Linked DNA regions of Stegostoma tigrinum. The protein of the gene in region 1 interacts with the protein of each later gene in a pairwise test. Links are inferred from orthologs where the notes say so. Each region holds a gene or a part of one and is shown in the gene's direction. Other genes may lie near its edges.

What was found.
Region 2: the proteins of agtrap (region 1) and acsf2 interact in binary tests that used the Homo sapiens proteins (3 or more experiments, as listed by UniProt). The two-hybrid records come from large-scale screens. The link is inferred for Stegostoma tigrinum from reciprocal best matches to the Homo sapiens genes AGTRAP and ACSF2.
Region 3: the proteins of agtrap (region 1) and synaptotagmin-16-like interact in binary tests that used the Homo sapiens proteins (3 or more experiments, as listed by UniProt). The link is inferred for Stegostoma tigrinum from reciprocal best matches to the Homo sapiens genes AGTRAP and SYT16.
Region 4: the proteins of agtrap (region 1) and txn2 interact in binary tests that used the Homo sapiens proteins (3 or more experiments, as listed by UniProt). The two-hybrid records come from large-scale screens. The link is inferred for Stegostoma tigrinum from reciprocal best matches to the Homo sapiens genes AGTRAP and TXN2.

What each region holds. Positions count from the first base shown.
Region 1 is NC_081381.1:28,425,989-28,433,534, reverse strand, and holds the start of agtrap (type-1 angiotensin II receptor-associated protein), read left to right. Parts: upstream 1-4,476; 5' UTR 4,477-4,547; coding exon 4,548-4,574; intron 4,575-4,930; exon of another isoform or gene 4,931-5,031; coding exon 5,032-5,066; intron 5,067-7,546. Other genes in the region: draxina (draxin), read left to right, coding at 1,068-1,180. UniProt on the Homo sapiens protein: Appears to be a negative regulator of type-1 angiotensin II receptor-mediated signaling by regulating receptor internalization as well as mechanism of receptor desensitization such as phosphorylation.
Region 2 is NC_081375.1:36,164,330-36,171,896, reverse strand, and holds the start of acsf2 (medium-chain acyl-CoA ligase ACSF2, mitochondrial), read left to right. Parts: upstream 1-4,465; 5' UTR 4,466-5,056; coding exon 5,057-5,178; intron 5,179-7,567. UniProt on the Homo sapiens protein: Acyl-CoA synthases catalyze the initial reaction in fatty acid metabolism, by forming a thioester with CoA. Has some preference toward medium-chain substrates. Plays a role in adipocyte differentiation.
Region 3 is NC_081363.1:29,171,316-29,179,114, reverse strand, and holds the start of synaptotagmin-16-like, read left to right. Parts: upstream 1-4,772; 5' UTR 4,773-4,999; intron 5,000-7,799. UniProt on the Homo sapiens protein: May be involved in the trafficking and exocytosis of secretory vesicles in non-neuronal tissues. Is Ca(2+)-independent.
Region 4 is NC_081391.1:3,482,913-3,490,337, reverse strand, and holds the start of txn2 (thioredoxin, mitochondrial), read left to right. Parts: upstream 1-4,218; 5' UTR 4,219-4,428; exon of another isoform or gene 4,429-4,475; intron 4,476-4,832; exon of another isoform or gene 4,833-5,116; intron 5,117-5,489; exon of another isoform or gene 5,490-5,561; intron 5,562-7,425.

The sequences.
Region 1 (7,546 bases):
GGAGGCATGTGTTGGTCCTCGAACAAGCTACTCTTAACAAAACAAAAATGAAGAATTGCGGGTGCTGGAAATCAAAAACAAAAAAAAACACTAATTACTAGAAAAGCTCAGCAGATCTGGCAGCAACTGTGGAGACAAAGCAGAGTTAACGTTTCATTGAAGTAAACATTAAAGCTACGTCCACTGTTAGGTTGTGTTTTGACTCTGCATTACACACTGAAAGTGTGAATTATTAATATCAGAATGGTAGATGGAAAAAGAAGCTCAGTCTTGTTAGAAGTGATAATGTGCAGGTGCTGGTGTTGCACTGGGGTGGACAAGGTCAGAAATCAGACAATATGAAGTTTTAGTCTAGCAGGTTTATTTGAAATCACAAGCTTTCAGAGTATAACCTTTTTTGTCAGGTGAAGTGAGAGGGAAGCACACAGAGACAGAATTTGTAGGCAGAGAGATCAAGGGCAGAGAAATCAAAAGATCATACAAATGGTGAGAGTGGAGTGTCAAATAATAAGTCTCTGCAGGTGAGCAAAAGTATCAGATGTGAGTACAGCATCAACAACTGAATAACAAACCAAGGGATTACCTATAATCTGATTAAATGAGGCTCAGAAATAATTACAAAAACATTAAAAGTAAGGTGGTGCTGGAGACAAACCAAATGACTGGAATAACATGACATCATCTTATTTTTAATTTTTTGTAATTATCCCTCTGCCTCATTTAATCAGATTATAAACCATCCCTTCACTTGTTATTCAGCTGCCAACACTTTACTTATACGATCTGACACTTCGGATCACCCATGGAGACTTATTATTCAACACTCCACTTCACACCAGTTGTATGATCTTTACATCTCACTGCCTATAAATTCTGTGACTGTGTACTTCTTTCTTATTTCGCTGATGAAGGGGCTATACTCTGAAAGCTTATGATTTCAAGTAAACCTATTGGACTATAACCTGGTATCATCTGATTCCTGACCGTGTTAGAAGTGAAGTTGGCAATTGAGCCAGGCCCTGTCAGATGAGTGCTCAAGACTGAACCCACTCTTCTGTCTTTATCAGGTCTTCGCTGTTATGCCAAGTTCCATCGGAATCGGAGAGTGACCCGCAGGCGAGGACGATGTGTGGAACCAGAATCTGTTGACATCAATCATGGATCATTTATTACGGTCTGAGCAGACATCATAAGGAATCCAGCTGTTTTGACCCACACAACGAGTCAATCCTCATCCAATAACAACAGTGAAAATCTTGATGGCTCCAAGAATGCCTGTGACTGCCCTGATAGGCGATGCCACATCTGGGGCAGTCTGGAATAAGATTCTTGCAATCACCCAGTCATGTCTGTTGAAAATATCCCTATTTACGCCCTACATTCCAAAACTATAATCCAACAAATCCCAACAATACCCAGAATCCACTACTCAACTATGATAATGGAATCCCCAATGGTTTATATTGTCCCATTCAACTCATTTCTTATTTGAAATGATCCTGCTGCTCGTACCCACACGAAAATTGTATTTGTAATACCGTACTTTCATAAACAGTTTTGAATGTTATTTAGCAAAATGGTAACTAACACAATATTTAGCAATAATACCTTGTATACAAGAGTTTCTTGTTATCTTTGAATTCCTCCTTATATCTTTTTATTTTCTAGGAATCTCCCTACAGTTCTCTCCCAACAGCTTTACTTGAGACAACCTCCCATCAGGTATCACCCTTCTGTTAAAACGTTGTCACCATTGATCATTCATGAATGATCATTCTCTTGAAATCAGATGTCCCAACATGTTTTCAGCTTTAAACTTATTGATATTACTACAAACCTGCAATATTTCACCAACTTTTAAAAATAAATATAATTTAAACTCACAATAAAACCAGACTCTTTAAAACACAATTTAGGCTCCTGCACAGCCTAAAGCCGTGATCAATTACTGTATAATAATTGAATTGTTTATAGTTAATCAATCTGAAATTTTTCATTTGATGTTTACTGAGCTACATCTCTAGGTGCTGGTACCAGCCTGTACCTTGCCCAAGTGACTGTTACCAAGTATGAGTCTAAACATTGAATATTCGTAAATTATTTGTGGACTGTTTGAATGTGAAGGGCAACAAAGACTCTGTACTTTTCTCACCTGATAACTGGGCATATATCCAGGAGTGTCCCAGATAATAATAAGAATCAGAAAAGCTGGTTGATGTTATACAGATATGTCGAAGCTTTATCATAACATCCACCGAATAGATGACCCTTGTTTTCAAAGGACTACTGTCATTTCAACTTAATATAACTTATAATTAATTACCTTTTCCAACAATGTTCTCCAAGTAGTTTTCAACCCTTGTTATAACTTGTGTTGTAAGAGGTGAAGATGGAACAAGGAATAGAAAGTACTGAAAACACTGAGCTGGTCCGTCTTCATCTGTGATAAGAACAGAGATTCGTTGTTTTGAGTAAAGGTATTTCAGATGCACAACAGTGTCTGTAATATTTTACTTCTTGTACAATGTTAAAACACAGCCTTTCTATGACTCAGGTATAGATGGGCATAGGTGCAGTTCTTGTGTTTTTGTATTAGGACAGTCCAATTTAGATATTGCAGTAAGGGTCAGGGTTGTGATGTGAGAATCTCTACTTTGAATAACTGTAAAACTGAGAGAATATTTAACTTTTTTTATAGATATATTGTCACATTATTATAGTTAGTCACTGTGACAACCATCTGGCTTGAACACATATTGCTGTTTTTCATCATTGTTGGGTCAAAATCTTGGAAGTCTGTACCTAACAACATTGTGTAAATATTTTCATACACAGATAGTAATGATTCAGGAAGGCAAATTACCATCACCATCGAAAGGGCATTTAGTGATGGGCTATAAATGCAGATCTTGCCAGCAATGCTGTATCTCAAAAAGAAATGTAAAGTCTTTGCAGACTGTATGTCATATTGTTATAGTTGCATTGTCTGTTATAGTTACACTTCGTGTTGTCCTGCATGTGAATTTATAGCAATGGAATGCATGACGAAAGAATGATTATGTATCAGATTTTGCACTTTTGTTTTCTATTTAATTTTAATATTAGCCTACATGAAACAAACAAAATCTGACAACCAATTAAAAACTTTGAAATGGAACATACTGACTAAGTTCATCTCACATCTTGGTGCACACCTGATTATTTCAGTCTCATTGTAATTTTAATTGTAGAGAAAATGAACTTCAGAATCGCTTCTGTCAAATGTTCATTTGTTTGTATCCAACAGTTAGATTGAGATGTGTTCTTTATTATTGGATCAAAATGTAGAACTCCCAGCACGTTGGGAGAACCTTCACAACATGAATTGTAATGGTTTAAGAATAAGGTCTAGTGCCATCACACCAAGGGAAATAGGTAGTACAAGCTGGTCTTGAGAGTTACCCCGCCCCCTTTACCTATCTCCTCCCTACCTCCTGCATTCTCTCTTACTGGCTCCATCCCCGCCTCTTTGACTTGTGTGTCTTTTCCACCGATCTTCTCTATCCATCTTCGATCCGCCTCCTCTCTCTCCCTATTTATTTCAGAACCCCCCGCCTTCTGAAGAAACGTCTCGGTCCGAAACGTCAACTTTTCTGCTCCTCTCATGCTCTTTGGCCTTCATCCAGCTCTACACCTTGTTATCTCGGATTCTCCAGCACCTGCAGTTCCCATTATCTCTACCACTGAGACACAGCTGATGCACCAAAGTCAAGATAGTTTTGGCTTTGTTTTTTACTGTCAGTATTTTTTGTCTCGCACCTGATACTTTACATATTTTAAAAGGTACAGTGTATTAGAAAATCTATCCCTAACTGATTTGACGTAAGCAAGTGGCAGTGGTGTATTAGTTTGGCATTTGAGGGATGTGCAAGCCCACCATAAATATTTGATTATTACGATTTTAATGAATGTCCACAGTGTTGGTCGTTGGTCTGGGGGTGTGATCTGCTGCAGCAGGTCCGACACCCGATAGAGACCAACTCCGTGTGGACAAGTGCCAGAAACCACAGCAAAATGCGAAATGTCACAACTCCCGCACTCCTGTCAGCGTTAACATATTCATTTTGTTCAAAAGCCTCCCCTGTCAACAACGCTCCCATACCCTAAATAACCAATTCTGAAACAAAAGTTTCATTTGGCAGCATCGATGTATGTCGATTTAAAGTTATTTTAGCTAATGTAAAATTAACGGGTTTTTTTCGTTCTGGGGATAATGACGATTCAAGTGACTCGGCAGAAATATAATGTTAGCGCATCAGAGGCCCACTGACTGTGAACTATGTCCACGATTAATTTTAAGACTCTCTTATGACGTTAAGCAGCTGATTCTCAGAGAGCAATGAGTCAGTGTCATTGATCGGTTTTGCCACCTTCTTCAATTGTGGGGTTTGAGGCGGGAGGAACCCAACAAACATCAGCACCCTGAGGGTTTCCTCATCCAGCCCGGGTCACATGATGCAGGGTCACATGGGTCGCCTCGAAGTTTGTTACTTCATGAAGTTTCAGCGATGGAACTGCCGGTGGTTAGCCTGAAGGTAAAGTTTGTGGAATGGAAATGTGAGGGTCAAGAAATCGAACTCCGGCTGCCCGCTAAGAACAGGGTTATCGATCGGGATCTTAAAGAAACAGTCTGGCTTTAGGAACAGCCCGAAGTTTAAATTATTGGTGTTGTGCGGAGCTGAGCATAACTTTTGTCCCTTCATCCCCTTTTCTCCCTCTCCCGTTGTTCCCTTGCCTTACCTTCCCCTAGCTCCTACTGCCTGCTTTCCCCCTTCACTAGTGAGCTGCAGACTGATATCTAGTCGACGGGCTATAGGGAGTGGTTTTGTCAAATGACAGAAATTCTGAGTCAGTTTCAGGCTATAATCTCGGGTGTTCTGTGATTCTCTAGGAATGATGTTGTGGGAGAACGACAGACTCTAGTTCAGTCTGTCTATAGAATTGTAGTGTTTGTTTGTTCTTTCGGATTGACCTGGGTTCGTGTTTCTACAGATGATCATCGTTGTGCACTGGCTCCTGACAACTTGGTGAGTGATGCATTAATTAACAAGCATCTGTTAACTGGATTTGTATTCCTGTCCACATGGTGAAAATATGTGGTAATATCAAACGCTCATTGATTTTTTTTCTTAGCCCTTTTTTGTTGTAGAAAAAGTATTGCATCCTGCTTGAGGATTAATTGAAAGTAAATTGCCATTGAGACAAAGGAAATTATATAAAGGTTGACTAAAGAATTGGCCAAAGAGATGGAGTTTAAGGAAGGCTTTGAAGGGGCAGCAAAGATTCTAGAACACAAACCTCAGAAGAACAATATTCAGTAATTGACAGAAAGTGACCATATTGTAAATTATTGTCCAGGATATATGTTCCAGAGGTTAGACAACAGCTAATAGTCATTGGAGCAAATATTTAAGGGGAGCTGGTTAGGAAGGGGCAGTGCTGTCTGGAGTTTGTATTGAACAATGAAATGCAGATAGGGTGGCACGGTGGCTCAGTGGTAAGCACTGCAGCCTCACAGCACCAGGGACCCGGGTTCAATTCCAGTCTCGGGCGACTGCCTGTGTGGAGTTTGCACATTCTCCCCGTGTCTGTGTGGGTTTCCTCCGGGTGCTCCGGTTTCCTCCCACAGTCCAAAGATGTGCAGGTTAGGTGGATTGGCCATGCTAAATTGCCCATAGTGTTCAGGGTTGTGTAGGTTGTAGGGGGATGGATCTGGGTGGGATGCTTCAAGGGGCGGTGTGGACTTGTTGGGCCGAAGGGCCTGTTTCCACACTGTAGGGAATCTAATCTAGGAATCGAATCTAATCAATTTATGGAAAACTGAGTCCTGCTTCGGTAATTGGATGATTGACAGTATGTGGCGGTGGTAGTGAAAGAGAATGTTTCACAACACTAGTTATTTAGACAGTGTTTGGAAGGTGTGGGTGGAAGTTGTAGACATGGAAGAAACATAGAAACAAGACGAGGGTATTCGGTCCTTCAAGCCTGCTCCACCATTCTTCATGATCATGGTTGATTATCCAACTCAATAGCCTATTCCTGCTTTCTTCCTCATAATCGATCATTCACCCCCAAGTGCTATATCTAGCCACCACTTGAATACATTTACTGTTTTGACATCAACAAATTTCTGTGCTAATAAATTCCATAAGTTCACTACTCTTTTGGGAAAATAAATGTCTCCTCATCTCTGACCTAAATGGTCCATTTTGATTCTCAGACTGTGATCCCTGCTTTTGGACACACTCACCATTGGGAACATGCTCCCTGCATCTATCCTATCTAGTCCTATTAGAATTTTCTAAGTCTTTGAGATCCCCTCCTCATTTGTCTGAACTCCAGCAAAGACAATTCTAACCTAGTCAATCTCTCCTCATATGTGAGTTTCATCATCCCCAGAATCAGCCTAGTAAGCCTTCATTGCACTCCTTTTGAGAGCGAGAGCAAGAGCATCCTTCTGCAGAAAAGGAGACCAAAACTGCACACAATATGCTATGTATGGCCTCACCAAGGCCCTGTATAATGGCAGCAACACATCCCTGCTCCTGGACTCAAAACCTTTCGCAATGAAGGCGCACACACTATTTGCCTTCTTGACCGCCTGCTGCACTTGCGTGCTTAATATCAGTGACTGGTGCACAATGACATCCAAGTCCCACTGCACACTCCCTTCTCCCAATTTACAGCCATTCACGTCATAATGTGCTGATAACAAAGTGTGAAGCCGGATGAACACAGCAGGCCAAGCAGCATCTCAGGAGCACAAAAGCTGACGTTTCGGGCCTAGACCCTTCATCAGAGAGGGGGATGGGGAGAGGGTTCTGGAATAAATAGGGAGAGGGGGGGAGGCGGACCGAAGATGGAGAGAGAAAAGAAGATAGGTGGAGAGGAGAGTATAGGTGGGGAGGTAGGGAGTGGATAGGTCAGTCCAGGGAGGACGGACAGGTCAAGGAGGCGGGATGATGTTAGTAGGTAGGAAATGGAGGTGCGGCTTGAGGTGGGAGGAGGGGATAGGTGAGGAAGAACAGGTTAGGGAGGCGGGGACAAGCTGGGCTGGTTTTGGGATGCAGTGGGGGGAGGGGACGAGATGGGCTGGTTTTGGGATGCAGTGGGGGAAGGGGAGATCACATTGATACCATTGGGCTGCAGGGTTGCTAAGTGGAATATGAGTTGCTGTTCCTGCAACCTTCGGGTGGCATTATTGTGGCAGTGCAGGAGGCCCATGATGGACATGTCGTCTGAGGAATGGGAGGGGGAGTTAAAATGGTTTGCGACTGGAGGGTGCAGTTGTTTATTGCAAACCGAGCGTAGGTGTTCTGCAAAGTGTTCCCCAAGCCTCCGCTTGGTTTTGCCAATGTAGAGGAAGCCACACCGTGTACAGTGGATACAGTGTACCACATTGGCAGATGTGCAGGTGAACATCTGCTTAATATGGAAAATCATCTTAAGGCCCGGATAGGGGTGAGGGAGGAGGTGTGGGGGCAAGTGTAACACTTCCCGCGGTTGC
Region 2 (7,567 bases), on another chromosome or scaffold:
TCTCACAACTCAAGGACTCTGAGCACTTTAAAGTGAAATTGCCATTACTTCCTGTCCATACCTCAACTTCCTTTTTAAACTTATTACCTGAGTATTTTAGGTGTTTGATGTTTCATTTTTAATATTTTATGGGGGTCAGTGGGTAATAAAATTCCTCTTTATCCCACTCAAGTAAACTTTGCAATTTATATCCAATTTATTCCTAGAGGGCCTATCTGGCCATCAAGCCTTGTTGTAAATACAGTTAAATACATGTTAGAGATCCACCATGGAGATGCTCATCATTCTGAAGCTGTTTTGTTCCCACCCTTGCCATAGATCGGTTCACTACTGAGCCAATGGGCAGCAACACAGAAAAGAAATGGCACCTGTCTGTGTGTTGCAGTAGGTTAGTGCATTTGGCTGTAACCAGAAGGTTGGTGGTTTGAAACCATCTAGAGACCAAGGACCTCCTTACTTTGGGATGTCATGGTGACTTAGTGGTTAACACAGCAGCCCCTCAGCACCAGGGACCACAGTTTGTGCCACTTTCAGGTGACTGTGGGGAGTTTGCACATTCTCCCCATGTCTTGCATGGGCTCCTTCTACAGTCCAAAGATGTACAGGCTAGGTGGATCAGCCATGAGAAATGCAGAGTGACAGGAATGGCGGTGGGGGGGGGGGGGGCGGTGTAGGCTTGGGTGGGATGCTCTTTGGAGGATTCAATGGGCCAAATGGCCTGTTTCCACACTGTAGGGATTCTATGTATAAATAACTTCTTTTTGGAAGAGCAGCAAATATCCTTATCTTCAATGAGCTTGAGGAGGACACTGGGAACAATGGTAAGCCTGCTGCTGTGTGGGGGAGACTGTAAAGGACAGCATACCCGGTAGGTGGGTGAGAAGAACAGGCTGTGATGTGATAACTGGTTCAGGGGATAAGACTCTGAGATGGTGATGGAAATGGAGGAGAAGGTTCTGAGATAGTGAAGGAGATGGGGTAGAAAGATTTAAGATGGTGAGGGAGATGGGGGAGAAGACTCTGAGATGCTAAGTGGTTTACGGAAGGAGGGTCCAGGATAGCAAACAGGTTGTGAGATGACAGCACTCTCCCTTTCATTGAAGCATTGATGCCCTGAAAGGCTGCAGTCAAGGTGGTGGAGCAGGCCTGTTGATCACTTGGCAGCATTTATATGGGAATGAAGGAGCGTGAGTAGGCGAGTTAATGTCAGAGTGGTTAAGTGAGTATGTATTGGAATTAGAAAAAGCTTGTATGGGGAATGGGAGTGTACGGATATGGGACAGTGTCGGTTTAGGACCAAGGGTGCACGTTTGTGTGCATGAGGATTGAATGCAGGCATGTGTGTTTTTGTGTGGGAGAAACAGAGTGGAGGGGTGAATGTGTGTGTTTCTGCGTGTATGTGGGGAGTGGGAGAGTTTCTATGAACCTTGAGACTGAGGAAGCCAAACACAAATTCACTTTTCTCCTCCTCTTCATTCCTCAAAACCAATCTGCAAAGCAGCATGGGTGTGCAGGAATACCCTGGCCGAAAGACAAGATGCTTCTAACACTTCTCCCCCACTCAACCCCCACTTCTATATGAATTGTACCAAGGCCAGCTCAGAGTGTGTGTTGCCAGACATGAAAGCAAGATCAGTGTTAGTTAAATCCGAGTCAACTTGGCCTCAATGCCTACCCACAGCTTTGGGTGATCAGGACTTGCAACCTAGTCCAGCTTTAGCTCTGTTTCTTAACCAAGGTGGTTAAAAAAAACTTGTATTTGCCGCTGACACATTTTAATGGCAATTTTATGAGTTACTAATTTACTTAAATGATTAATTTATTTCTTTGGAATTTTAAAAAATTCATACCCCTTATTGTGCCAAACCTTATGTTTATATTTGCTCACTGCACTTCCAATCACAGTCCCCATTAAAGAGAAAGAGAAGTTGAAATGTGCCACACCCCTAGTGCAAGGGATAGAGTATTCACTGTTGTCACATGTACTCCAGCAGAGGAGTACATGAGTACAGTGAAAAGTTTTAACAATGGCACCATCTTAGGTAGAAGTAGCTAGGTATAAATGTTGGATACAAAACAGGAATAAAAGGAAAAGTAATAGCATTACTTACAGTGTCTAAAAAAAAGTTAGAAGTAGAATAGTTACAACAAAGTTAAAGGATTGACATTACAGTCCGGTAAAGAATTTCAGATCAATGTTACATTGCAGCAGCTCAACAAGCACGTGGTCTGATCGCCCACGCCAGGCCCCTGACCAACAACAGTCCCACTCCACTCCAAGTCTCCAGCTGCTCCACCAGACACTCAGCTACACCAAGGTAAGTTGCGCTGCTCCTGGACTGGCTTTTCTTCTCGCAGATCTCCAGGACTCATTTTCCCTCGAGTTGTTCCAGGCCAAGCTTCCTCTCATGATGTTTTGAGACACACTTTCCCTTGTGCTGTTCTGGGGACTACTGCCCCAATCACTGCTCCAGGAGCGTTAAAAGGAGAGAAGAAAATAGTAACAAAAGAAAAAGAACAGGCGGAGTAGAGAGGGTCTGCATGGAGAGTGTTACTCTGTCACCATCTTCCCGGAAGGAGCTTAGATAACTCTGCTTTGCAAGGTGCTTTGTTCTGTATCAAAACAGTATTGTACCTGCTTCATTATTTAATGTGGAAGTGTGGAAGAAGTTTTACTGTACGTTGAATTTATACTGTACCTTCACCGGGAGCATTTGGTGGGGACAGTGGTATAAAAACTGAACATTACAAGACAATTATGTGTTTTAAAATGTCTTCTCCAAGCACTTTGGCTCAGAGAAATGCCATTGTGATCCAGTCACCATCAGGAGAAAAGCCCATTGACGTGGAATGGCTGTTTTAACACCTTTCACTAGAACAGCTACTATGAATTGGAAAGAAAAAGTATGGAGCCAGAAAGGTCGTTGCTGCTGTTCTGTCAGAAATATTGAGGAATAGGAACAAATAACAATGTGATAACAGTTTTGTCGGAGCTGGCTAAACAACTTTAAAGGGTCAAATCTGGGAATCTCTAGACCTTCTGGTCTGTGATGATCTGCTGGAGAGACATATCCAATGAAGTGTACCTGTTGGTGATAATTATAATCTGTGAGATCCCAGGCAGAATGGAATGATTGTTGAAGAACACTACAAACTCAGCCTAGTATGGCTCCTTTGAAGAGCTGGAGGTGACTTTGGGATAGTTCTTTTAATGATGCATATCTATCAGAAGCATGATGTTGAACAAAAGTGTTTGATAATATATATTCTGGTTGTCTTAGTTGGTAAATACAAAACATACAGTTTTCTTTAGTTTGGTGCATTAGTTATGTATAGGTTAGGGCTTGATCTATGTAGATTATATTTTGTTACAGTAAAAGTCTTAAAAGGTGAGATCTTGTCCTTTGTTATATTTCTATTATTTGTTTGGAAAATTCAATCCTTTAAAAAAGTTACAGGCCTCAATGGGGTTGTAAAATTGTACAGGAAGCATTATTTTGTACGCAACGCATGCTGTACCTGCCCTGGGAGTATTGGTGGGGACAGTATAGAAAGGAGTTTTACTCTGAATCTATGCCTAGCTGCATCTCCCCTCAGAGCATTCACAGGGACAGTGTTCTCAGCAATTTATTCTGCAACTCACTTGCACTGTGTTTGATGGGGAAAATGTATTAACAGTTGAATTACTGTTAGTTCATTGATTCCAGCTAAATTATCTGGATAGATATGGTTATTAAGTGACAGCATCAACACAGATTAGAAATTCAGATTTATGGTTGGGAACAGCTTTTAAAATTAGGAAGGTAATTTTGAATCTGATTTATCCCTCTTATTGTCTTTATGTGCGCCCTGCCTGCATGGTTATCTCCTTGGAAACAAAACAACAAAAGCATCCAGATGCTGCATGGTTGCCTCCTTGGAAACAAAATAACAAAAACATCCAGATGCTGGAAATCTGAAACAAAAACAGAAAGTGCAGGAGAAACTCTGCTTTCTCTGAACAGATGCTCGAAAACCTGCTGAGTTAACGTTTCTCATCCAGTGATCCTTCATGCTTGGACAATCCCGTGTTTGTATTAAATGTTCGAGCCCTGGTAATTTCTGAAAACAAAATAGATCAAATGCCTGGATCTTCACCTTTTCACATTATGTCAAATACAGATTTGCAGGGAAATTCTATCCTTAAATCACACCCCATTGTATACACCATCCACCACATCCCCAGTCTTTTCAAAGTGTTTTGCTTTTTGAAACTCTGGTATTCCACAATGAGACTAACTGGACAGTTATTTCAAAGACAAAAAGAAACAAAAATCGCTGATGAAACTCAGCAGGCTGTTGACTGGAGGGTTCGTTTGTGATGCAGAGTAAAATCCCCGCACAGACTAGGGTCAGTTGGGTTGACGTTGGTTTGTGATGCAGAGTAACGCCTGCAGCGTGGGTTCAACCCAAACAACGTCGCCTGATGTTGAGGAAGTGAGATATTTCACAACAGCTGGCAGAAACACGATGGGCTGAACAGTTCAGTTTCTTTCTTTAATGCTGTATGATTGCAGATGTCGGGTGCTGTGGTGTGATTTCAGTGGGGAATTTCTGATACTATAAACGGCTGTAGTGGGCAGAGTCACTTCTGGCCTGGCGCTGCATTCCGGTCTGATTACCCGAGTTTGCCTGTTTACTCCCGCACACCTCCTCTAAAGAGATTGAACCCTACCCCTGACCATAGGGTCAAAGAACAAGCTGCCCTCAGTGTTCAGCAAAGTTGCAGTGTCTCGTTTGCCCCCAATGATGTGTTTAAACGCTGGGCTTTCTTTCTGCTGCATTGGCGAATTCTTTCTGGGACCTCTGGAACAGACTTTGACAGCGGATACCACACACTGAATGGTCGGCAGAACCGTCCATCTTTCATTTTGAGCAACTGTTGCGCTGACATTGGACGGGAAGGAACTTCTAATCTGGTTTTAGTGTGGGTTGCGGAAGTGTAAAAGTTCAGTTAGAAGTGTGTTAAGAGGGAGCCCTCGGAGTTATCGCCGTTTTCTACACTGTATTTGTAATAATGGGCTTCGCGTTCGGGCTGAGGAGTTGTGCCGGCCCCTGGAACCGGAGCTGGCGGCTCTTCCCGGAAGATTTCTGGAAAGGCTACAGTAGCAGTGGGACAAAAACACTTGCCCCATACAGGTAAAGGCTGCCGCTGGCTGTAACTAAGCTTCGGGGATCAGAGTGTCTTCGGTCATTTAACAGAATGTCTTCGGTTGTGGAAATGAGAGAAATGACTCATTCACTTCGTTTGTGTCTCCCCCAAGCATTCTGTTCTAGGATCTCTTCTGTGACTGGGAGGTTTTTGTTGTCAAACACTCATCGCCGGGTCTTGTGGTTATTTCGGCACAGATGGCTGTGCATATTAGCATCTGTCAGCGTATTTTAAATAGTCTCATTCTCTCGTGTGAGAGGTAGAATATTGGCTGCCAGTCTGTGAATTGATAGGAGTATTTTGTTTTGACAACATTCGAAGACATTCAACGTTAACTCCGTTTTTCCATGGAGAGATGCTGTCAGACCTGCTGAGTTTCTTCAGCATTTTCTATTTTTATTTCAGTTTTCCAGCATCTGTAGTATTTTGCTTTTATAATAAGGGTGGTGTCTCATTAAAGTAAAAGCTAGGATGTTGAGGTGCCGGTGTTGGACTGGGACTGACAAAGTCAGAAGTCACACAAAGCCAGGCTATAGTCCAACATAAGAGAACACGGAGTGAAGCTGGATGAACACAGCAGGCCAAGCAGCATCAGAGGAGCAGGAAAGTTTGACGTTTCGGGTCGAGACGGAAACATTTTTTTGAAGAAGGGTCTCAATCCGAAACGTCAAACTTTCCTGCTCCTCTGATGCTGCTTGGCCTGCAGTGTTCATCCAGCTCTACACTGTGTTATCTCAGATTCTCCAGCATCGGCAGTTCCTATATCTCGATAGTCCAACGTTTATTTGAAATCACAGGATTTCAAAGCGCTGCTCCTTAGTCAGGTGAATGGAGTGAAGTGCGCAGGCACATAATTTATATACAGTGACCGCTCAAGGATAGACTTCCTGTTTGTGTCACGGGCCTTCTCGGTCAGGTCCACTGGCGTCGAGCCGGTGTTCTTCTCTGACCACTGCCTCCTGTTGGCCGACTGTCACTTACAGGACGACCAGCCGGCCGGCAAGGGGACGTGGAAGCTCAACACGACTCTGTTGACCCCAGAGAACATCGAGGAGCTTGAGAAGGAGTACGTTGGTTGGAGAACTGTGAAACCCCTCTTTGAGTCTCCGGGCGACGGGAGACGGTGAAGGAGAACATCAAGAGGTTCTTTGTCCTCAAGGGTGTTCGGAAGGCGAGAGAGAGGTGGAGAAAGCTGTCGCGACTCCAGAAAAGGGTGCAGAACCTGCTCCTTCTGCAGATGATGGGGCTCGATGTCACGGAGGACCTCCGCGAGGTGAGGGGCCAGCAAGCCTCGCTCTTCGCCGCGGAGGCCTCCAGGATAATCTTCCGGTCCAGGGTCCACTCCGTGGAGCAGGACAAGATGTGCTCGCGTTTCTTCTTTCAGAAGGTGCACAAAGAGAGCTCTGTGCTTAGCCGGCTGAAGGAGGATGATGGCTCGGTGACGTCGTCTCGGCCCGACATTTTGAGGATCTGCAGATCCTTCTATGCCGGACTGTACGACACGAAGCCCACAGACAGCACGGCCTCCAAGCCGTTCCTGCCGTCTATTTCGGAGGTCTTAGACAACGGCACGAGGGAGTGGCTGGACCGGCCGATATCCCTGGATGAGCTACCAGAGCCCTCAAGTCCTTGGAGAGGAATAAGACTCCCGGGAGCGACGGCTTACTGGTCGAGCTGTATTCCACTCTGTGGGACCTGGTCGGCCAGAACCTGCTGGAGGTGTACGATAGTGCGCTTCGGGCAGGGGAAATGTGCAAGTCCACGAGGAAGGGCATCATCACCCTCATTTACAAGAGGAAGGGGGAGAGGGAAGAAATTAAGAATTGGCGTCCCATTTCACTATTGAACGTGGACTACAAAATCCTGGCCAAGGTCATAGCCAACCGGGTCAGGTCTGTCCTGGAGTCGGTGAATCACCCCGACCAAACCTGTGCTGTGCCGGGCAGGAAGATCGCTGAGAGCCTCGCGCTCATCAGGGATACGATCGCCTACGTGCAGGACAGGCGGGTGGACACCTGGCTTGTCAGCCTGGACCAGGAGAAGGCCTTCGACAGGGTCTCTCATGCTTACATGAGGGATGTCCTCTCCAAATTGGGGTTCGGGGAGGGCATCCGCAATTGGATCCGGCTGCTCTACACAAACATCGTTAGCGCAGTCTCGATCATTGGGTAGGAATTGGACAGTTTTCCCATCAGATCTGGATTCAGGCAGGGCTGCCCGCTCTCTCCTGCCTTGTTCGTGTGCTGTGTGGAGCCCTTCGCCCCATCCATCAGGAAGGACGTGAGCCTGAAGGGCGTGACTATCCCAGGCAGCGGAGGCCTTCAGGTCAAGACCTCCCTGTACATGGACGATGTCGCCGTCTTCTGCACCGATCGT
Region 3 (7,799 bases), on another chromosome or scaffold:
ACCCCTGAGGATATTGTTAAGGGAAATTCACTAACATTATTCTGAATAAATGTTAAGGAAAGGTGGATAGATTCTTTTTGGTGAAAGTCATTGAGTACTGAGTGACACGATTGTTACTTGCCACTTATCGTTCCAATCTTGAATGTTGTCCATGTTTTGCTGCATGTGGGATGGACAGCTTCAGTTTCTGAAGAGCCATGTATGGAACAATGCAATCATTAATGAACATTTTCCTTGTGATTTCACAATGGATGCCGTCATTGATGAAGTAGTTGAATATGGTTGGATTGCAGGCATTTTCCTGAGGAACTCCTGGGGCCATGCCCTAGGACTGAGATGATTCCTCAGACAACCACAACCATCTTTCTCTTTGCAAGGAGTGATTCCGGCCAGTGGAGATATTTCCATCTGATTCCCGTTGATGTCAATTTTACTGCGGCTTCTTGATAGCAACTCACTTTATTACTGTAATTCAATGTTGTTCTCCATGACAACAGCTGTAATGAGGAAAGGAGCCAGGGATCCTGATGGAATCCAAACTAAGTATTGGATATTCCTTGGCCCAATAACCAGGGCTCAGTACTCTCAGGGATGGGTCCTTTGTGCTCAGGGCTGAACCTGGACGCTCTGGGTCAGGCACAGCACTGGAGCTTGTGATTCCTGCTTGGTGGAAGCTGTCTGTCAGTCTGCTGATGACCGAGAGTAACCCCATGGATAGTAATTGGTCACACCGCCCTGTCAGTAAGTGAGCAAAATGTACTTGCAATACCAACTCTATAATAAAGCAAAGTAAAATGGCTAGTTTATGGATAATGACAGGCATTGGTGAGCCCCTGAATATGGGGAAATCAAGTGATTGAAAGGGCAGAAAAATTGTGGAAGAATGGTTTCCACTCGTGTATTTAAATGAATTGAATACATGGATACATTTTGCTTGACATCTCTATTGGTGTTATCCAATAAAAACTGGTGGGCAGCTTGAAATTACCTCTTGTATTATTTTCTCATTTAATAAATTATTAAGCTTTGTTTTCATTGTTCAACATCACTGAAGTCCTTAATTAAATTACTACTTATGTAATTTACTCCCACTCTCACTACATCCACTGGATACTGCATTGGTGTCTCACTGGGTGTTTTTATAAGTTACTGAATAATTTTGTTTAGATTGTCAGTCTGACATTTGATTTCATTAACTGGCAGTGGAGATAAAATAGGCCCTGTTCCAAACTGATCAAGCTCAGCCTGAAGATATTGCAGATAATGGTATGGAAGTGGTAAGAAAACACACTCACGTCCCAGTCACTGTTTGTTGTGAGCACTGTCAGCTCTGCTGTGAAGTTGTCACTGTGATTTAGAATGAGATTCCATCCTACAGTGAGGCAACGAAGCATGTACCATTTTAGCCTTTTGGGTTTTCAACTTAGTGCAGCTTTGAGACCAACTGCACTATGATGCTGAGGCTTTTTTTCTATTCATTTGTGAGGTGTGGACGTCGCTGGCTGAGCCAGCATTTCTTGCCCATCCCTAGTTGCCCTTGAGAAGGTGGTGGTGAACTGCCTTCTTGAACCACTGCAGTCCTCCTGCTGTAGGTTGACCCACAATGCCATTGGTTGGGGTGGGGGATGGTGGAATTCCAGCATTTTGACCCAGTGACGGTGAAGGAACAACGATGTATTTCCCAGTCACGATGGTGAGTGGCTTGGATAGGAACTTGAAGGTGCTGGTGTTCCCATATATCTGCTGCCTTTGTCTTTCTAGATGGATGTGGTTGTGGGTTTGGAAGGAGCTGTTGAAGGATCTTTGGTGAATTTCTGCAGTGCATCATTCAATGTTCGATAAGATCATTGTCACTAGATTAATAATCCGGAGGCCAAGACTAAAGCCCTGGTAGTGTGAGTTTACATCTCACCCTCGTGAGAAATTGAATTTAAATTCAATTCATGCATTTTGTTTTAATTAAAGAAGTGCTGGAATTGAAAACTGGTTTCAAAGATGTAACCATGACATTATCAGTAGTTGGTGTAAGAAATCCATCTGTTCATTAATGTCCTTCAGCGAATGAAATCTGCCACCCTTACCTGTGATTTCAGAGCCACAGTAATGGGCTTGACTCCAAATGTCCTCTGAAATGCCTGAGCAAAAAAACTCAGTCATACCAAACCAAAAACAAGTCAAAGAATGAAAGTGGATGAACTACCTGCTTTCAATGTTAGTTTTGGAAAAACAGAACACCTGCCCTGCCCACCCTACAAAGCCCTAATTACAGAGTTTCTGCAACAATTTGGAGAGCTGTCCTCCACAGAAAGACAGGGTAACAAAGTGTGGAGCTGAATGAACACAGCAGGCCAAGCAGCATCTCAGGAGCACAAAAGCTGCTTGGCCTGCAGTGTTCATCCAGCTCCACACTTTGTTATCTTGGATTCTCCAGCATCTGCAGTTCCCATTATCACGCCACAGAAAGACAATTGGGCAGGTTGGCTGATTCACACTGCTTTCTGGGTACCACAGGAATTAAGTTCTAGGCAATCAATTGATACTGTTAAGTGGTAAATTAGTGACTAGTTTATGGGCCTGTACATTGTTACCACCCTGATTATCACTTGTTTCCAGAGGACAAGAATCATAGAATCCCTACAGGACAAAAAGAGGCCATTTGGTCCATCAAGTCTACATCCTCCGCCAAAGAGCATCTCACCCTGTCCCCATACCGTACATTTCCCATGGCTAACCCACCTACTCTGCACACCCCTGGACACCGTAGAAAATTTAGCATGGCCAATCCAACTAACCTGCACATCTTTGGACAAGGAGAGGAAACTAGAGCGCCTAGAAGAAACCCATGCAGACACAGGGAGGACATGCAAACTCCACACAGGTGCCAGCACCATCATAAAATGTGCCCCCTAGTATCAGCTGTTCTGAACTTCCACATGGCAGTGCCACAGTAGTTTGTCCGACTGACGTGACCTCTGATTAGTCGGCAGTTTCACATGTGGGCAGGATATCACCAGGAAGGGATCCCAAAGGAAAGTCAACTAAGTGATAGGCGTGTGATCCAGTAGGCTTTCCCATCTGCAGTGCAGTAATGGGGATGGAGGGCATTTGGCCTGTTTTGATGGCTTCCACAACAAAAGCAGGAAATTCCACATAAGGACCTTTCGGTGAGGAAACTGAAGAAATGGAAGAATTCTTAAACTGGGGGTGGGGACAGGAAGAACACACGAGATCTGTGTAGTTCAGGAACAATCAGTAACCCTTCAGCCACAGAGACTGGTATTTGGTAAAATTAAGAATCAAAAATGTTCAAGGAAGTGACTTTTTAAAATATATATTATGATTTGATTTGATTTATTGTCACATGTACTGAGGTAGAGTGAAAAGTGTTGTTGTGCATGCTATACAGGCAGATCATACCATACAAAGTGCATCAGGCTAGCAGAACAGAGCGCAAAATACAGTGTTCTAGCCACAGAGAAGGTGTAGGGAGAGAATTAACATTTGAGAGGTCCATTCAAAAGTCTGACAACAGCGGAGAAGAAACTGTTCTTGAATCTGTTCGTATACGGAAACTTTCAGATCTGCTGCCAACAGGTGGAAGCGAGTATTTGATTATTTTGTTGTTTTCCCGAGGCAGTGAGAAGTATAAATCGAGTCAGTGGATAGAAGCTTGTTTGTATGATGGCCTGGGCTATGTTCATGATTCTGTGTAATTTCTTACGGTCTTGGGAAGAGCAAATGCCAAACCATGCTGTGATGCATCCATGTAGGATGTTTTCTGTGAAGTAGCTATAAAAATTAGTAAGAGTCATTGTGGACATGCTGAAATTTATTCGCCTCCTGAGGAAGGAGTGATGGTGTTGTGCTTTCTTGATCATCATGTTGACGTGGGTAGACCAGAGCAGGTTGTTGCTGATCATCACTTCCAGGAAATTGACACTCTTGAATATCTCCATCTCAGCATCATTGATGCAGGCAGGGGAGTGCCCCCCCAACTCACTTCCTGAAGTCAATGACCAGCTCCTTTGTTTTGCTGATGTTCTTCGAGAGATTGGTGTCTTTACACCACTGCCACCAAGCACTTACTCTCCTTCCTGTACTTTGTCTCATCGTTGTTTGAGATCCAACCTACAATGGTGGTGTTGTCAGCGAACTTGTAAAAGGAGTTGGGGCAGAATGTGGTCACACAGTCGTGAGTGTATCAGGTGTATAGTAGGAGGCTGAGTACGCAATCTTGCAGGACACTGGTGTTAAGGATTATCATGGTCCTCCATTGTGGTGTTGTTGCCTATTCTTACCGATTTCAGTCTATGAGTCAGCAAGTCAAGGATCCAGTTACAGAGTGGGGAGCCAAGACCTAGGTCTTGGAGTTTAGAGATGAGTTTATTTGGAATAACAGTGTTGAAGGTGGAGCTGTGTGCCAGAAGTAGGAGCCTGACTTAGGTATGTTTGTTATCCAGATGTGCCAGGGGTGAGTTTAGGGCCAAGGAGATGGCATCTGCCATGGACCCGTTGTGCTGTTAGATGAATTACAAAGGATGATTGCCCTGGAGCTTCAGCATAATGGTATCACAAGTATTCTACAGCGGCAAAATGATTTTTAAAAATTGTAAGTTTACTAGAGTCTGGAAAAGCTCATCAATTTTCATCAAAGGTATTTCAATTTTAGTATAAAATCTGTAAACCAATCAGGCTTGCTGTAATTCTACCTGTTTGAAATCAGAAGGCTGTGGTTTTGTGAGCTGGCCTCCTTTGCAAACATTCTCATTGTTTTGTGAGTAAGTAGAACCCTTAATGAATCAAACCACACCTAAAGTTTCAGGAAGTTGTGCTCAAAGGAGAAGGCTATTGTCAAGAAGTCTTCTCTGACTGAAGGAAAAATAAAAATCCCAAAACAGTGAAGGGAGAACAGATTTTCCGTGGTTTCTTTGTTCCATGTACGATTCCCTGTGGGCTGAAAGCAAGGCGTCAGTGAACGGACCTTAATGGTTACTTTCAGGTAGGATTTGAAACTTGTTGGCCTGGAAACACACCTTAGGCAGTTTCAGCTGGGAGTTGGATATGACGAGGGCAGTCAGTGTGGTAACCTGATGCTACTTGAGTAGTATTGCTGCTTTGCTCCATTTAAGCAGTGTCTGCTGACTTTTCAATAATGCTCTATACATGGTGCCAAAAAGAAATTATTTCTCAGGCTTGTGTTATGTCGAACATTGGTGAGCGTTAATTGACTTTTTGCTTTCTGATTAACCTTCATGATAATATCTTGAAGCATGACGTAAGTCGTACATTCTCATGTTTCATCCAAAACTATAAACCCATCATCCAGAAAAGGCTCAAATTTTTTTACATTTATGACAGATATGGGAGCGTTTTGTGTGTCCTCTTTATATGTTAACTATGGAACAATTTTTCTTTTGTTTTTAAATCTCAAATCCCAAACCTACACTTTTATTACCTCTAAACTTCAATGTTAATGGCTTCAGACTCATGAGATTTACAAACCATTTTTTGGTGGTCATGAGTCATTTGATACCCCAAAAGCATTACCAGTAATAATAGGGTTATGTCAGCAAGAATAACTAATTATGGATCAATACTTATACCTTGGGATGTGGAAGTCACCAGACCAGGCCTGGTATTTCTTCTCCGGCCCTAATTGCAGAAATTCTGATCATTTTATAAACCACAAGAGTTCTCAGAGTCTGCACAAACATTTGGTTGGAACTGACATTGAAACTGGAATGCAAACCATTTGAGGCGTGGCTTTACTTTTCAAAAAGCAGCTGTGGGAGAACTTGATCAGCTGCCTCTTAAAGAGGTACTGTACGTGCGAATTTCTTAATGCATTCATTTCCCAAATGTATGATGCAAACAGGGAAAACATACACGGAAGTTGTGTTTGAATCAGATCATTTGAAGTTAAGATAATAAAGTGTGAGGCTGGATGAACACAGCAGGCCAAGTGGCATCTCAGGAGCACAAAAACTGATGTTTTGGGCCTAGACCCTTCATCAGAGAGGGGGATGGGGTGAGGGTTCTGGAATAAATAGGGAGAGAGGGGGAGGCGGACCGAAGATGGAGAGAAAAGAAGATAGGTGGAGAGGAGAGTATAGGTGGGGAGGTAGGGAGGGGATAGGTCAGTCCAGGGAAGACAGACAGGTCAAGGAGGTGGGATGAGGTTGTAGGTAGGAAATGCAGGTGCGGCTTGAGGTGGGAGGAAGGGATGGGTGAGAGGAAGAACAGGTTAGGGAGGCAGAGACAGGCTGGTGATAATGGGAACTGCAGATGCTGGAGAATCCAAGATAATAAAATGTGAGGCTGGATGAACACAGCAGGCCCAGCAGCATCTCAGGAGCACAAAAGCTGACGTTTCGGGCCTAGACCCTTCATCAGAGAGGGGGTTGGGGTGAGGGTTCTGGAATAAATAGCGAGAGAGGGGGAGGTGGACCGAAGATGGAGAGAAAAGAAGATAAGTGGAGAGGAGAGTATAGGTGGGGAGGTAGGGAGGGGATAGGTCAGTCCAGGGAAGACGGACAGGTCAAGGAGGTGGGATGAGGTTAGTAGGTAGGAGATGGAGGTGCGGCTTGGGGTGGGAGGAAGGGATGGGTGAGAGGAAGAACAGGTTAGGGAGGCAGAGACAGGTTGGACTGGTTTTGGGATGCAGTGGGTGGAGGGGAAGAATTGGGCTGGTTGTGTGGTGCAGGTGGGGGGAGGGGACGAACTGGGCTGATTTTGGGATGCGGTGGGGGAAGGGGAGATTTTGAAGCTGGTGAAGTCCACATTGATACCATTGGGTTGCAGGGTTCCCAAGCGGAATATGAGTTGCTGTTCCTGCAACCTTCGGGTGGCATCATTGTGGCACTGCAGGAGGCCCATGATGGACATGTCATCTAAAGAATGGGAGGGGGAGTGGAAATGGTTTGCGACTGGGAGGTGCAGTTGTTTATTGCGAACCAAGTGGAGATGTTCTGCAAAGCGGTCCCCAAGCCTCCGCTTGGTTTCCCCAATGTAGAGGAAGCCACACCGGGTACAATGGATGCAGTATACCACATTGGCAGATGTGCAGGTGAACCTCTGCTTAATGTGGAAAGTCATCTTGGGGCCTGGGATAGGGGTGAGGGAGGAGGTGTGGGGGCAAGTGTAGCATTTCCTGTGGTTGCAGGGGAAGGTGCCGGGTGTGGTGGGGTTGGAGGGCAGTGTTGAGCGAACAAGGGAGTCACCGCTCGGTTCGCTATAAACAACTGCACCTCCCAGTCGCAAACCATTTCCACTCCCCCGCCCATTCTTTAGATGACATGTCCGTCATGGGCCTCCTGCAGTGCCACAATGATGCCACCCGAAGGTTGCAGGAACAGCAACTCATATTCCGCTTGGGAACCCTGCAGCCCAATGGTATCAATGTGGACTTCACCAGCTTCAAAATCTCCCCTTCCCCCACCACATCCCAAAACCAGCCCAGTTTGTCCCCTCCCCCCACTGCACCACACAACCAGCCCAGCTCTTCCCCTCCACCCACTGAATCCCAAAACCAGTCCAGCCTGTCTCTGCCTCCCTAACCTGCTCTTCCTTTCACCCATCCCTTCCTCCCACCTCAAGCATCACCTCCATTTCCTACCTACCACCTCATCCCACCTCCTTGACCTGTCCGTCTTCCCTAGACTGACCTATCCCCTCCCTACCTCCCCACCTATACCCTCTCCACCTATCTTCTTTTCTCTCCATCTTCGGTCCACCTCCCTCTCTCTCCCTATTTATTCCAGAACCCTCACCCCATCGCCCTCTCTGATGAAGGGTCTAGG
Region 4 (7,425 bases), on another chromosome or scaffold:
TGCTGAGTCCACGCTCTGGTCCTACTGCAGCCATAAGTCTTCACTCCGGGCACTGCCACCCCGCAGCCAATGACCGGCCTAATCCATGAGTCCACACTCCAAGCCACCCACAGCCAGGATTCCTTGCTCCAAGCACTGCCGCCCCTGCAGCCAATGCCCCACCCACACTGTTCCAGCTTCCCCACGTTGTTAGAAGATGAAAAGAAAAAACGGGAAAGAAAAAGTCCAAAAAGGATGGAGGGAGAGAAGGATGCAAATGGCCTGGAGCGTACGGGATCAGGAGACTGAACACTACCTACTTTGCCGACACCACCGTACCTGAAGACATGTCATTGTATAAATATATAGGCATAGATTGGGGAATATCTGTTTCATGATATGGAACAGAAGAGGGGAGAATCAGCAAACAGATTTGATTGACCTAACAATTTGTGGTTCTGGGTGACTGGGATTCTGCTAGGGGCTGTTTCAGAGTCATTTAATTTTCTCTTGGAATTCTCCTACTGGGGGATCATTTGATTCTCAAGGGCACCTTGCGTACTGACAGGGAATGCAATGTGAAACTGAACCATGGTTAGTACCGCTGCCCAGAACCTGGGTTCAATTCCACCTTTTGGTAACTTTCTGTGTGGAATTTGCACATTCTCCTTGTATTTGCATGGGTTTCCTCTAGGTGCTCCAGTTTCCTCTGACAGTCCAAAGACGTGCAGGTCAGCTGGATTGGCCGTACTAAATTGCCTATCCAGGAATGTGCAGGCTAGGTGGACTAGTCAAAGGAAATACAGAGTTACAGGGATAGAGTCGGGGGGTGTGGATCTGGGTGGTATGCTCTTTGAAATTTCAGTATGGACTCGATAGACTGAATGGCCTGCTTCCAAACTGTAGAGATTCTATGATTGTCTTTAGTACAAACTCCCTATGCATTTGTGGTGAGACACAAACAACATTAGCAAGGGGTGTCCTCAATACAGTCTAGGTAGAAAGACATGGAAGCTAAGGACTCAGGGAAATAAACAGTGATGTCTTGAAAAGATAACAAAGTGTGGGGCTGGATGAACACAGCAGGCCAAGCAGTATCTCAGGAGCACTAAAGCTGACGTTTCAGGCCTAGACCCTTCATCAGGGAGGGGGATGGGGAGAGGGTTCTGAAATAAATAGGGAGAGAGGGGGAGGCGGACCAAAGATGGATAGAGGAGAAGATAGGTGGAGAGGAGAGTATAGGTGGGGAGGTAGGGAGGGGATAGGTCAGTCTGGGGAGGATGGATAGGTCAAGGAGGCAGGATGAGGTTAGTAGGTAGGAGATGGAGATGCGGCTAGAGCTGGGAGGAGGGGATAGGTGAGAGGAAGATCAGGTTAGGGAGGCGGGGACGAGCTGGGCTGGTTTTGGGATGCAATGGGGGGAGGGGACAAGCTGGGCTGGTTTTGGGAAGTCCACATTACAGAAGAAGAAATGCTGGAGACCTTAAAATGCATAAAGGTAGATAAATCCCTGGAACCTGATCAAATGTATCCCAGGAAATTGTTGGAAGCTTGGGAGGAAATTCCAATGCCCTCAGCCGAGATATTTGTATCATCGATGCTCATAGGGGAGGTGCTGGAAGACTGGAGGATGGCAAATGTTGTGCCTTTATTAAAGAAAGGCTGGAAGGAAAAGTCAGGTAACTCAGGCCTGTGAGCCTGATGTCAGCGATAGGTAAGTTGTTGAGGGGATTCTGAGAGATGGGGCCTACATGCATTTGGAAAGGCAAGGACTGATTAGGGATAGTCATCATGGCTTTATGTGTGGGAAGTCGTGACTCATAAATTTGATTGAATTTTTTGAAGAGGTGACCGATAAGAAAGATGAAGGCAGATTTGATTTGATTTGATTCATTATTGTCACATGTACTGAGATACAGTGGAAAATTTGTTTTACGTGCTAACCAGACAAATCATACATCCAGGGGTACAATCAGTATAACAGAACAGAATGCAGAATATAGTGTTACAGCTACAGAGAAGATGCTGAGAAAGATTAATTCTAATATCAGAGAAATCCATTCATAAGTATGATAAGCGCGAGGAATAAGCTGTTCTTAAATTCAGTGACACATGCTTGCAAACTTATCTATCTTCTGCCCAATGGAAGAGGGTGGAAGAGAGTATGACTGGAGTGGGAGAGGTCTTTGATGATGTTGGCTGCTTTCCCGAGACAGAGGGAAATGTAGACTGAGTCAATGGAAGGAAGTCTACACGGTTTTTAGCAAGTCTTCAACAAGGTTCAGCATGGTGGGCTGGTTTGTGAGGGTAAATCACATGTGATCCAGGGAAAGCTAGCCAATTGGAATCAAAATTGGGTTGACGATAGGAGGCAGTTGGTTGTGGTACAGGATTGTTGTTCAGACTGGAGGTCTGTGATCACAGTGTGATGCAAGGATTACTGCTAGGTGATGAATGTTGTTCATCATTTATGTAAATGATTTGGATGAGAATATAGTAGGCATGGTTACAAACTTTGCTGGCATATCACCAGCAAAAATTGGTGGTATAGTGGACGGTGAAGAAGGTTGTTGTGATTCGTTGGCTCAACGAGCTAGTTTGTTGTTCCGCAGATATTTCATTGCCCTCTTGGGTAACATAATCAGTGCAGCCTCTGATGAAGTGCTGTTGTGGTTTCCCACCTGTCATTTAAACTCTGGTATCCGTTGATCTGGGTTACCTCACTTCCGGTTTTCCTTCGCAATGGTGTGTATACAGTGTCTAGCTCTAAATGTTTATTAATGGCTTTCTTAGTGGAGAACCAGGCTTCTAGGAATTCCCGTGCTTGTCTCTGCTTCGCCTGTCCCAGGATCCCGGTGTTGTCCCAATTGAACTGGTGGTATTGAAACAGTTACCCTGCAGGGTAATGAAACGTCTGTGGAATAACGAGCCAGCTTGGCAAGCGAACAAACCACAACATCCACAACCTCAGCCACAAATCTACTCTAAAACCTTAGTGAAGAAGGTTATCTAAGAGTACAACGGGATCTTGATAGACTGGGCCAGTAGACCAAGAGATGGCAGTGGAGTTTAATTGAGATAAATGTCGCATTTTGGTAAGACAAAACAGGGCATGACTTTACGTTTATTGGTAGGGCCCAGGGGAGTGTTGTCAAATAGGGAGACCTAGGGGTGCAGATACATAATTTCTTGAAAGTGGTGTCACAGGTAGACAGGGTGATGAAGAAGACATTTGGCACATTGAGTACAGGAGTTGGGATGTTATGTTACAACTGTACAAGATATTGGTAGGGCCACATTTGGAGTAAAGCGTACAATTCTGGCCACCCTGCTATAGGAAGGCTGTGATTAAACTGGAAAGGGTGCAAAAAGGATTTACTAGGATCTTACCATGACTGGAGGGTTTGAGTTATGACAGCCTGAATAGGCTGGGACTTTTTTCCTCTGGAGTGTAGGAAGCTGAGGGGTGAGGTTATGGAGTTTTATAAAATCATGAAGGGCATAAATAAGGTGAATAACCAAGGTATTTCTCTCAGCGAAGTCCAAAACTAGAGGGCATAGATTCAAGGTGAGAGGGGAAGAATTTAAAAGGATCCCCGAGGGACAACTTATTCATACAGGTGGTGTGTGTGCATGGAATGAGCTGTCAGAAAAGTGGCAGAGGTGAGTACAAGCACTTGGACAGATGCATGGATGGAAAGATTTAGAGGAATATGAGCCAAATGGGACTAGATCAGTTTAGGAAACCTGGTCGACATGGGCATGTTGGGCTAAAGGGTCCGTTTCTGTGCTGTATGACTCTATGTGAGTCACTTTAAAATCAGCAAATGTGTTTAAATAAAGTACTTCAGGTACTGAACATCACAAATAGTACTGGGAAATATTGTACTCAAAATGTTAACTCTATTTCTCTCTCCAGATGGTGACGGACCTGTTGAGTTTCTTCTATTTTTAGACTAAATGAAGATGTTATTAGTTAGCTCTGGGCATTTGTATCTAATGTGTAAAATGACAAGTCATTTCCACCCTATGATTTTGTTTTAGCAGCTTGTAGTTGTTGGGCACATCAATATAATTTGTAACTGTCTAATAAGCCACTCGAAGACACTGCAAAATCAAAGCATCAGCCACAAGGGTCAAAGCAGCAGAGGGCAGTGGGCGGGGTTGGATGACACACCACGTGATACTTAACACCGCCCACGAGATCCTTTACAAAGATGATGGTCACCTCTCTCCTCCCCAATCTCCTTTGTATCTCAGTCGACCTCTGCCCACCTTCCCCCCATTTACAAATCGAAAGGAGCAAACTGTCAGCCCGGTCCATCCCTAAACAAAGGAACTACTTGGATTCTCCAGCATCTGCAGTTCCCATTATCACTGATACATCTGCGCAGTTGCGCCGATTCCAATATCGTGAAGAAACTTGGGAAACAGTTTCCAGGACGTGACGTAAGTTAAACCGGAAGGTACTTTGGCCTCGTGTGGAAGCTGGAGAGGTGAGAGAGAAAACGGAAAAAGAATAAAAATTCGGAGAGGGAAGAGAGCGAGAAAAGTAATAAAAGTCTTATGGTGGGGGCGGGAGAGAGAAGTAAATGGGAGAAGGTGGTATTGTGGTAATGTAATTGTCTAGTGACCTAGAGGTCCAGGTTAATGTTCTGGGGACTCTGGTTAAAATCCTGTCATTGGCAGCAATTGGAATTCAAATTCAGTTTACAAGGTCTGGCATTGAAAGGTGGCCTTTGTAACGGTGGCTATCGTAGATTATGTAACAATCACGGACTGTCATAAAAACCCAATCCATGTCCTTCAGAGAGGGTAAATGAATTGTTAACCTTGCCTGCTTTGACCTGCACGTTTCTCCAGTTCCACAGGAAAATGATTGACTTTTGAATGCCTTGAGGGTAGAGAACATACATAAACCTGGTGTAGTGTGTGCGTGGAGAGAAACTCAAGGAGAGGGACAGATAAGGCCTTTGTTGGTTTGTAGAGAAAGTTAACAATTACCTGTAGATGGACTACTGTGGCAATAATCAGTGTAGGAGTGTTAAATATTGATTTCCAGCCTATTGGATTTGTAACTGTCAGCTGGGATGGTCTTGGAGTGGGAGAAAAATGTTGAATCCAGGATGCATGTGGGGTGAGTCAAATTGCTTCTTGCTCCTTCATTGTAATGCAGTGACCCTCTGTGAATATCTGCTGAAGATGTAATGTGATTGGAATTCCTGTAGCCAATCAGACTGGCTTGCAGTCACTTTGAATAAAGCAAGCTATAAAATAAGGTCTGACGTGGAAATGTGCAGCTACCAGAAAGCAATTTTCAGTGCTATTTGAGAGATCTCAGATACCGAAGCTGCCCACTGCAGTAAGACCAGGACAACATCCAGGATTGGGGCCAAAAAGTGGCAAGGAAACATTTGTACCACACAACTGTCAGGCAGTAACCATTTCCAATAAGAGAAAGTCTAACTTGACATTCAATGCCATTACCAGCACTGCGTCTCCAACTATCAACATCCTGGGGGTTATCATTGAATAGAAACTGAACAGGACTCTCCACATAAACGCAGTCCCTACAAGAGCAGGTCAGAGTAACTCACCACATGACTCCCTGAAGCCTGTCCATTATCTACATAGCACAAGCCAAGAATATGATGGAATATTCCCTGCTTGCCTGGATGAGTGAAGCATGACACCATCCAGGGCAAAACGCTGCTTGATTGCATCATTATTAACAAACATTCAATCACTCTATCACCAATGTTTGTAGCAGCAATGTGTACTGTCTACAAGATGCCCTGCAGAAATTTGCTAAAGATCTTTAGACAGCATCTTCCAAACCCACAACCACTATCACAAGGGCGGAAGATAAATGGGAGCAAGACCACCTTCAAATACCCCTTCAAGCCACTCAGTATCCTGACTTCACTGTCTTTCCCCCTATCCCAACAGCATTGTACCTATAGCATATGGATTGTAGTAGTTCAGGAATGTGGCTCATCAACAGCAACTCAAGGACTGGCAAGTGCCCACGTCCTACAAGTGAATAAATGAAGTGGTTTGTTTCTGGGCGTCTGTGACACTTTGGGCACACAGGCAGGTCCAATTATTTGCCAAACCATGACAAATTGCTTTCTTCCCAATAGGTTGAAAAACTCAGTAGGAGCAAGGTGGCCCATTGAACAAACTCCCTTTATTGAGTTTAGCAAAAAACAAGCTGAATCCTTGATAGAATCATCAGATCCCTACAGTGTGGAAAGATGCTATTCAGCTCATTGAATCCACACCGCCTTTCTGAAGATCATCCAACCTAGGCCTTACCTTTGCCCCATAACCCTCCATTTTCCCATGACTAATCCACCAAGCCCACACATTTCTGGTCACTATAGATAATATAGCAAGGCCAGTCCACCTAACCTGCTTATCTTTGGACTGTGGGGGGAAACAGGAGTACCTAGAGGAAGCTCACTCGGACACAAGGGAGCATGTGCAAACTCCACACAGTCACCTGAGGCTGGAATCAAACCCGGGTTCCTGGTCTGTGAGGTAGCAGTGCTAACCACTGAGCCACCATGCTGCCCCAATCTGTGGCATCATCATTTTTTGGTAGACCAGTGTGTGGTCTGATAATAGGATGTTCAGAGAGTGGCTGCTTACTCTAATCGCTGTATGATGAGCTGTAATGCTAGTCCTCTGCTCTTTGTTCTTTGTGCGTTACAAATTGTTTGTGCCTGACTCCCTTTTAATACAGAAATGAAGATGAAATCTTTTCTGAGGGTTGTTGGAATGCAGCATTCTCTTCACCAGAAGATAGAGGAGACTGGTTTTATTTTTGATTGAAATTTAAAGATCTCGTGGGGGGTGGTGGTGAATGATGTACATCTCATCTGAAGTCCCATGTTCTTATCTCTCTGAACTTAGTCCTGTGCAATTGCTGTAGTATGTCTGTGATATTTAAATGATGATTAGAATTAATCCATGTGATCTGCTTGATTTTTGTTTTCTCCCTCAATGGAATATTCTTGTCCCTGCAAGACAACAGAAGCTTCAAGCTTCAATAGAAATGCCCTGACGTGAATTTGTACAGGCTGTGGAAGCACTGTTCTCTTATGACTGATGTAACTTTCCTGCATTGTAATAAATCCTATTGATTGGCTAAGTCCCTGGTCTGATCTTCTGCTGTTCTAGGTTGCAGAGACATTGATGATTTGCACTCTGCTGGCGTCCTTAGCTGGGATAGTATTAATTCATTTCTAGGGAGCAGCTACATATAAATACAAACTGAGTTAAACCATTCAACCCCTTGAGATGCTACCACTATCGGGTGCCCAGAATATTTCATCCATGTGTGCTGTTCAGAAGAGGCAAACTATTTGCTTTCAGTCACAGTTAAGTCCAGTTCTGTCCTTGCTTAGTCTCCACGTATAGACACTGGTTGCCACTCACTGA